2 linked regions of the Nothobranchius furzeri genome follow. The protein of the gene in region 1 purifies or fractionates together with the protein of each later gene. This does not show direct contact. Links are inferred from orthologs where the notes say so. Each region holds a gene or a part of one and is shown in the gene's direction. Other genes may lie near its edges. The genes, in order: actin-related protein 2/3 complex subunit 1A and arpc3.

Region 1 (4,296 bases):
CAGTCTGACTGAGCTTTACATAATGCACCAAGAATTCAAGAAAACATAATAATTTGCACAAACACATTTATTCAATAGATATTTTACAAAATATGACTAAAAACTGGTGAAATATCTTACAATTGTGCATTACAGAACCTTTTTTGTCATTCATCTGAACAAATCTAGACTTTACCAAAGCAGAAAGCTTTCAGTGACAGCACTTCCTCTTCTCTATATGAAGAACTAGCAAGCAGTGAGGACATGTGTGGTGGGCATCTTTAAAGTGGTTTAGAAAAAATGGAATCAAGCAGCAGCCAAAAAACAACCTGTAAGAAAGCATTTGCAGACTTTTTACTGCCCATTCTGGGTTAATAGTTCCTGTAGGTGTATGAGATGACAATTAATACATTTGAGTACATCTTTCTCACCCACAAAAGACAAACAAGAGGCACACGAGCCAGGCGTAAGTCCCGACCTTAAAGGTGACCTCTGTGGTGACCTGTGTCTGACAGGAGGTGCACATCATTAGTGCTGGAGAGCCAAACAGCTTTGTTTTATAGCTCACAACCATTGGCCTGGGACCACGTGAAGGGATGTCCGAGACTTCAGAGATGACAAGAAGAGATTAAAATTAAAATCTGTGCTTCTGTTGTTGCCCATTAAGCAGAAGCTTTCTGCCCCCAAATAAGTAAAATAGTTTCCACCTACATTACTGAAATGGTGTAGTTTCAAAAGCAAACTTACATTTTGACACAAAGATCATTTAAAATGGCACAATATGGGTTCATGTTTAGACCTGGATGAAATTTAACGTGCACCTGGTAGAGGTGAGAAAACCGGAGGAGTTGGAGGGATGTAAGGCGGGTTTACATGGTAGATCCTCAGGTCTTGCTCTGGTAAAAGAGCATACATTTGTAAGTATCTTTAACTTTTAACAAAAAACTCTTTTCAGCTAAGAAAGCATGAGAATTAGGTTTTAAAATTACTATTAGTAGTAGTATTTTGTCTAGAGGGTTCTTTTACCTGATAGCAGGTGAAGTGGAGGTGGAGGAAGTGAATCATCCATGTTTAATGGCTCCACTTGTCAGCTTGATGAAGCACCACAGAGGAAGACAAGGTTCAAACTTGTATTGCTTTCATCTAGCAGCAGCTATCTGAAGACCTCCCAGGTGCTCTTAATTTAACTCTCCTCTGAATGGTTAAAAAGCCCATTACCCATGATTCAATGGAAGTAATGCCTTATAAAGAAATAATTTTTATTGTTATTTAAACAATAATCATTTATCATATTGATGCCTTTCCTATGGGGTGTAAATTTATTTTTGAAAAGTGCAATAACATTTATTAAATGAATTGGTCTTTTCCTGCTTTCACTCTGATGAATAATAGACTATAGAAGTAATACAACTCTTTAACCGCTAGAGGCGCTCTTACACACACTAGCTGTAGTTGTGAGACGCCGTCGTAAACGGCACCGTTCAGTTGAATGTAACATCTTAGCGTGATGATGCTAAGCTAGCTGTCAGCCAGGTATCCACGGGTTTAGCTGCCGAGCCGAGTTAGGTACCGGATGTTTCCGGTTCTATCTCACTGGCCGTCTTGACATTCCCTCTACATTCCTGGACGAATTCGTGTCGACTGACCAGAGTCCGCGAATTCAAGTCCATTCCTGATCTATAATCTCTTCCCGACAGTGTGGCTTAGCTTGCCGGCTAACTCGAAGAGCCAAACTGACGAGGTAAGTTAGCACCCGGGCTAGCGGGATGGAATTATGTAGAAAAGCGTCTCCTATGAGGAAACACCGAGGTCTGAAAACCGGGAACGCAGGCCTCCCGGTAAAGGTGTACATAGGAGTAAATCAGCATGTTTTTATCAAGCTGGCTTTCGAGCTTATATAACAATTTAAATATATATATATATATATATATATATATATATAGATTGTTGTACAACCTGGGATTTAAAATGATTAATATTTCGTTTGTGACGATTACAACCCGAGTGGGGCAGTCTACCCGGCTGTGGCTATGCTGCACTAGCTAGCTAACCGGGTTGACGTTTATTAGTAAAAGTGAACACCTCGCAATATACTGATTTAAAAATATAAGAATTGCTTGACGGTGCCTGGCTGATATTTCATTTACCACATTAATTTATACTCAGACCAGACCTCTTGGTTCTTTGACAGACTTAGGTTTAGCGGATGAATTCAAGCTATCTGCTATCAAGTATTAAACGAAATGAGGTGGCATAAAGTTACAGTTGTACAATTTGTCCCAGTTCGTAAGCATTTGGTGGTTTTCTGAGTGTGTGTGTTGTGTGTGAGAGAGATTCGATGCATTGCTAGTAGAGGCAAAGTTATGGTTAGGTCAGGAATGGCTATCGCTCGTTGCTAACTAAGTTTGTCTGTGACTCAGCAGCAGAGTTTACACTTAAGGACCACACCCAGACAAAGATGTCCCTTCACCAGTTTCTGTTGGAACCCATCACCTGCCACGCGTGGAACCGCGACAGGACACGTAAGGCTCAAGAATCACACCCACTTCAACACATGATTCAATTTCCGACAGTTGTCGCAAGAGACGTCAAATTACAAATAGAAATAATTTGTGAAAGAGTGGCCGCAGGTAAACAAAGGCAGTCTGGACGGACTTGTTTTTGGTGTTGAGCTGATAAAAGAATCCAGTCCAACTGGTTTGTCCTCTTCGTGGTCATCACAGCTCCTAAACTTGCTGGTTTGTTTTTCCCCCTTTTTGTCTCCAGAAATTGCTATCAGCCCTAACAACCATGAAGTTCATATCTACAAGAAGAGTGGGAACCAGTGGGTGAAGACCCATGAGCTGAAGGAGCACAACGGTCACATAACAGGTACGATTCAAGAGATCACCAAATTTAGCACGTGTGTTTTCGAAGGTGTGAAACACTGATTATTGTTTTTTTTTTTCTGTTTATAATCAGTCACTGTGAGTTTTTCCCTTCAGGCTAAGAATTAAAATAGTCTCCTACACCTATCTCCTGCATTAGCTTCTAAGAGAAAATAGTGAAACTTTAGGATTTGAAAAGCCTGACAGATCTACGTCACACTTTCACGTAACATTCTTAGACTCGCCCATCTTGACTCACGAAAGGGAAGGCTGTTGTTGGGTTAGCGTCCAGGAAACAGCAGAGAACATCATGACTAGAAGCTAACTGTTAGCATTAGCAGCACTGCCACAAACGAAAAACTCCTTCAGGCGAGTGTTATTTGTGGAGATAATGTATCCACGTTGCAAGTCAGCGGTAGGGTTTCATTGCTGTTATACAATTTGAGACAAGATGTCCAAAAATCAGAAATGAAGACTCAAAAACCTGCTGCCACTCTCTGCCGCAGCAGATTTGTCCAGGCTGATCCAAGCAATTCTAGGCTTTTTTTTTTTAGCTCTGAGTACAACTTGCAAGTCATTCGTTCCTGCCACTGCAAATGTATTGATTAAATCCAATATTGGATCATTTATTCAGCTTCTCAACTTCACATGTTTCTCCAGATTTTAGGTCTCAAACGTTTACTGTTGTTGAATAATTTACATTTTGCACCGATGTTAGAGAAACACTCTGCTGTTATAAGACAAATATCGTTAAAACCCTACAACAAAGCACACTTTTTTTTATGATATTGCCACCTGACTTGACCTGTTTTTTTGTTGTTGTCACACACATGGAAGCTTCCTTCAACTGTGCAGTGTTATTCGTTTAATCATTAGAAAATAAGGAGTGTGTAGTGAATGTCTGGATCAAGTCTCAATTTAACAAAATGCTAAACAAAAGCAACTGTGAGAGATGGCTAAATAGACAAGTGATTTTTGTCAAGTGAATGGGTCTAGTCTAGATGTAGACATCGTGCCTTGTTTGCTGTTCATGCTCTAATAGCATCACAGTCAAATGGCTTACAAAGTCTCACACTTGCCTCTGTTTTGTTTTTCTGTTGCAGGGATTGACTGGGCTCCCAAAAGTGACCGTATAGTGACATGCGGAGCGGACCGTAACGCCTACGTGTGGTCTCAGAAAGATGGGGTGTGGAAGCCCACGCTGGTCATCCTCAGGATCAACCGAGCAGCCACGTTCGTCAAGTGGTCTCCGCTGGAGAACAAGTTTGCAGTTGGCAGTGGAGCTCGACTCATCTCCGTGTGCTACTTTGAATCTGAAAACGATTGGTGAGGAAGGAATATCCTTAGATTTAGAATAACTGTTTTTGTTCTTCTGTGCTAGGTGCTAATGCTTTTTTAATTTGGGTCAGGTGGGTGAGCAAGCACATAAAAAAGCCTATCCGCTCCACCA
Region 2 (4,310 bases), on another chromosome or scaffold:
TAACAAACATAACTTTAGTATTGGCTGTTAAGTTTGGTCTAATTGATCTAAAGGTAAGTCCTTTTTAAATTACATAAGTTTGAAGCTTTGTGTTGTTTTTACTTTAAACAGGTCAGATTGAACTTTACACACACGTCCCTGTGATGAGACAACTGGTGGAGCAGCTCCAGCAGTGGGAGTTTCGGGTGTGTGGGGTGTTTTTAGTCGACTCACAGTTCATGGTGGAGTCATTTAAGGTAACCATATATCTGTTCTTTTATGTTTGTGTCATTTTCTTTAGCGCAAGTTGTTTTAAACTAAGGTGCGCTCATCTTTTACGTGTTTCAACTGTAGTTTATATCTGGGGTCATGGCTGCCCTGAGTGCCATGGTGTCATTAGAAATTCCTCAAGTAAACGTCATGACAAAGATGGATCTGCTCAGCCCCAAAGCAAAGAAAGAAATAGAAAAGTAAGTTTTGCATGGTTAAAGCAAAAAAAGTATGTAGTGCCAGAGAAGTTAACATGCAACATCAGTTTTGCTTTCCATAAACTGTTTATAATTGGTAAATCTTTAAGGCAGTTGTGTATTTTTACAAGGTACCTGGACCCCGACATGTACTCTATGATGGAGGATAATTCTGACACTTTCAGAAGCCAAAAGTTCAAGAAGCTTACCAAAGCTATTTGTGGTTTGGTATGATGTCATTTATTAGATTTAGAAACATTTTTTAATGGTAAACTGACATATTTTTTCTGTTTTTTATTTTATTTTTATATATAGATAGATGACTACAGTATGGTCAGATTCTTGCCTTTTGACCGCACAGATGAGGAAGGCATTAACATAGTCATGCAGCACATCGACTTTTCCATTCAGTATGGAGAGGACCTGGAATTCAAGGAGCCTAAGGTGAAGAAACAACCATATTAACACAAATCTAATTATAATGCAAATCTTTATTATTTATTAAAACTAAATAAAATATGGTTTTCTTCTCCATCAGGAAGTTGATGAAGAACCAGCAAATTTAAACTACGATGAGCTGTTTCAAAACAAAGTTGTCTGTTGAAGAGTATTGTGATCGTGTGTCAGCTGGGAAAACAGCATGTGCATGCAGGTTTTAGATGAAGTTCAGCTGGAGAGCTTCATATCAAAAGAGGAAATGGACAATAGCTAAATAAAACTGACTTTGGACTAGTCTTTTATGTTTAAAATATTATTTTCTGTTTTTATTATTTATACAACTCAAGATTTATTTTCATTTGACAAATTAAAAATAAAAACCTGAAGTGTTGTTAAATAGATGTACTAATGTTATATTTTTTAAATAAAACATTACACAATGTGCACTTTTCTGTGACGAGATTGTTTTCAGCACCCCCCAGTGGCCGCTATGTCACACGACACGTGTTCACTTCCGGTAAAGCTACAGGGTGGGAAAGGCGGAAGCAGCGTCTGGGGGTGCACGGATATTTGTCTTGCTGAGCAGTTGGATTGATATCTTTCATTCAACATGCCGGTGAGTATATACTTTGCGATAGCTGTTGACGACAGCTATTTGTTTTTATTGATTTATGAAGCCAGAATTGTGTCATGAAACTGTCTTTATTTTACGTTAGCTGTGAAGACGGACATCTGTGGCATAGTTAGCTAGGCTCGTTAGCATTCGGTAGAAACCTACTCGTAAAATTACTTAAAATTGTCAATATTCCACTAAATGTTCCTTTTGAGGATATTAAGTTTATCATGAAATTATCCCTAGCTTCTTGAATGTAAATGAGTGAAACGTACGGTCGTCGCTAGCGCTATCGCCGTATAGAATCTGAACAGATCTGACAGCTGCTTTTTTCTGGATTTTATTTAGGCGTATCATTCAAGCTTGATGATCCCCGATACAAGGCTAGTGGGGAACATGGCCTTGCTCCCCGTTAAAACTCAATTTAAAGGACCAGCCAGAGGAGACGGTAAGTAAGCATCATAATTCTGTAATTGTCTCCACTAACGCGTTCTGTTTCCGGGTAACAGATGCATGAAAATGTCAAGAACTTGACCAGTTCTGTGCAGAGTTTTGGCTGTCATTCAGTTCCTCAAACGAGTCAGCTTCACTTCCTTATATGGGCTGAAGAATGCATCATCAACCTATGTTGTTATTTCTGGAACCCATGCATGTATTATTTGCAACAAGATGTATGATTTGTTTCAACCAACCACCAAAATTCTTTTGTACAAACAATGAAGACACAAATGAACTAAACATGACATTTTACACTCAGGGCATTGGTCTGTATTGAAAATTTTCTTTTTTCTTTTTAAACTTGCAGGGCTAGATTCTGATATTATTGAAGAAGCGATCTACTACTTCAAAGCCAACGTCTTCTTTAAGAATTATGAAATCAAGGTAAGAATTAAAGGTCGGCCGGTGTGCGTTCTTACCGATGCTCATATGTAGGAGTCATGATCAGCCAGTTTTTCTGGCTGATATCTAGATATTTTTCACCTTATCAGCATGCTAAAATGTCACTAATAACAGTTACTGCAAATCTTTTCTGAACCTGAACCAGTTTTTGAACTCTGAATATACCCAACAGTTGAATATTAATTTTGTGCACTGGTTTTTGTTAAAACAATGATTTATTAAAAGTTAATCTAACAAACAAACCAATAATCTGATCGTTTAAAATGTAAAACTGGTGGAGTGACAGTAATGTTTTAGAGCAGGGGTGTTCAGTACATTTATTGCGGTCTACCAGTCGATCTTAAAGATGGTGTGGGTAGATAGCAAGACATTAACAAAAAAAATTATGTCAACCTAAAATTGAGAGCATTTTTTGAACAGGTGTCTTTTCAGAAACATAAATATAAATTTATATAAAATTTGGCAGCTGCACCAGGCTGCCCGTGGATGTGCCTGTTCTCAAATCAGTGCTACTAAAGAAGTATATTGGATTATAAAGATTTATGTATTAAAACATTGTAAATATGAGTTTACCCCTATTAAAAATCACAAACTTTTTATGCATGGTGTTTTTATCTAGAACATAAAATATTTACAAAGAGATTTCATAAGCTTGTTTTAAGATTTTTCAGATTATAATTGCTTGTAAAATTCACCTGGAGTTCATCAGATAAAAGATGTTTAAATAAAAACTTGCCTTTGTGCATGTTCTGTCTTTCCCACCTTCCGTCTCAGAGCAGCTATGCACTTCGTATTCCATCACATGTTGGGGCTCGCTTCTTCCACTCCACTCAACACGGTTTCTTCATCATAGCTGCCCTGGATTTAAGCCTTTTGTAACATTAGCATTAATGCTGTAGGGAAACATGACTGCTTTAAACTAAATCACTTAAAAGTGCGTTATATTTTTTTCAGAATGAGGCAGACAGGACCCTGATCTACATCACACTCTACATTTCTGAGTGTCTGAAGAAGCTACAGAAGGTGAGTTTATAACATCTGTATCATTAAAGTGTACAGTGTTAACAGCTGTTGTATTCGATGGGTGAAAATGTTTAGTGGTAGCATTTAAAATGCTTGTTTGAAAGTAGAAGCGTCTCAGTCGGGCCTGGAAACCAGAGAGCTCAATAGCTGGGTTTTGGTGCATAAAGTGTGCTTCTAGAAAGAAGCACATGTGTGATTTATTAATTTATAATCATTTCTAATCTAGGGCATGTAAAATGGGTTTCACTGAACATTTTTTGCTTTAATCCTTGCAGTGCAGCTCCAGGAATCAAGGAGAGAAGGAGATGTACACTCTAGGCATCACAAATTTCCCCATCCCTGGAGAGCCTGGCTTCCCTCTTAATGCCATGTATGTGAAGCCCTCAAACAAGCAGGAGGAAGGTGAGCGATGGCATTAAACGATCAACTAAACATAAAGCTGTACTTCTGTCTGTCTGAGCTTGTTTTAGAAGGAAGAAAAAAGCATAAAGGTTGGATTAGGGCTGCAGCTATCGAATATTTTTATAATTGAGTACTCTATCGAATCTTATCGATTGAGTACTCTAATAAATTACTCTTTTGTGTTTGTAAACCATTATATCAAATAGCCTGTTATAAAATATGAGCGGCCTCTTAAAATGAGCAAGCAATTACCAGTTATTCAAGTTTTATTCAAAATTAGTTTTCAGAACTTCAGCACTTCAACTTCACTTCACAGTAAACAAATGTGAGCGGCTGCGACCCAAACAGCACCAGAACCGCTCACGGCGCATGCGCAAACATGGCTCGCCAGCTGTTTCCCCATTAACACACGTCCGTTTTAATTTCTACACTTTTTTTCTCACACAATAAAAAGGATTGTCAAGAAAGCATGTTTGCCGTGATTATGT

What was found.
Region 2: the proteins of actin-related protein 2/3 complex subunit 1A (region 1) and arpc3 purify together in Homo sapiens (affinity purification with mass spectrometry; 8 studies listed by BioGRID and IntAct, counting the BioPlex papers as one, with this or other methods). This does not show direct contact. The link is inferred for Nothobranchius furzeri from reciprocal best matches to the Homo sapiens genes ARPC1A and ARPC3.

What each region holds. Positions count from the first base shown.
Region 1 is NC_091744.1:15,328,143-15,332,438, forward strand, and holds the start of actin-related protein 2/3 complex subunit 1A, read left to right. Parts: upstream 1-1,423; 5' UTR 1,424-1,720; intron 1,721-2,399; exon of another isoform or gene 2,400-2,402; 5' UTR 2,403-2,437; coding exon 2,438-2,501; intron 2,502-2,745; coding exon 2,746-2,850; intron 2,851-3,949; coding exon 3,950-4,172; intron 4,173-4,255; coding exon 4,256-4,296. Other genes in the region: lipopolysaccharide-induced tumor necrosis factor-alpha factor homolog, read right to left, coding at 191-308, 411-585, 801-875, 1,006-1,048. UniProt on the Homo sapiens protein: Probably functions as a component of the Arp2/3 complex which is involved in regulation of actin polymerization and together with an activating nucleation-promoting factor (NPF) mediates the formation of branched actin networks.
Region 2 is NC_091746.1:47,862,158-47,866,467, forward strand, and holds the start of arpc3 (actin-related protein 2/3 complex subunit 3), read left to right. Parts: upstream 1-1,379; 5' UTR 1,380-1,494; coding exon 1,495-1,500; intron 1,501-1,845; coding exon 1,846-1,945; intron 1,946-2,302; coding exon 2,303-2,379; intron 2,380-3,351; coding exon 3,352-3,420; intron 3,421-3,695; coding exon 3,696-3,822; intron 3,823-4,310. Other genes in the region: gpn3 (GPN-loop GTPase 3), read left to right, coding at 112-236, 334-449, 578-674, 762-890, 985-1,050. UniProt on the Homo sapiens protein: Component of the Arp2/3 complex, a multiprotein complex that mediates actin polymerization upon stimulation by nucleation-promoting factor (NPF).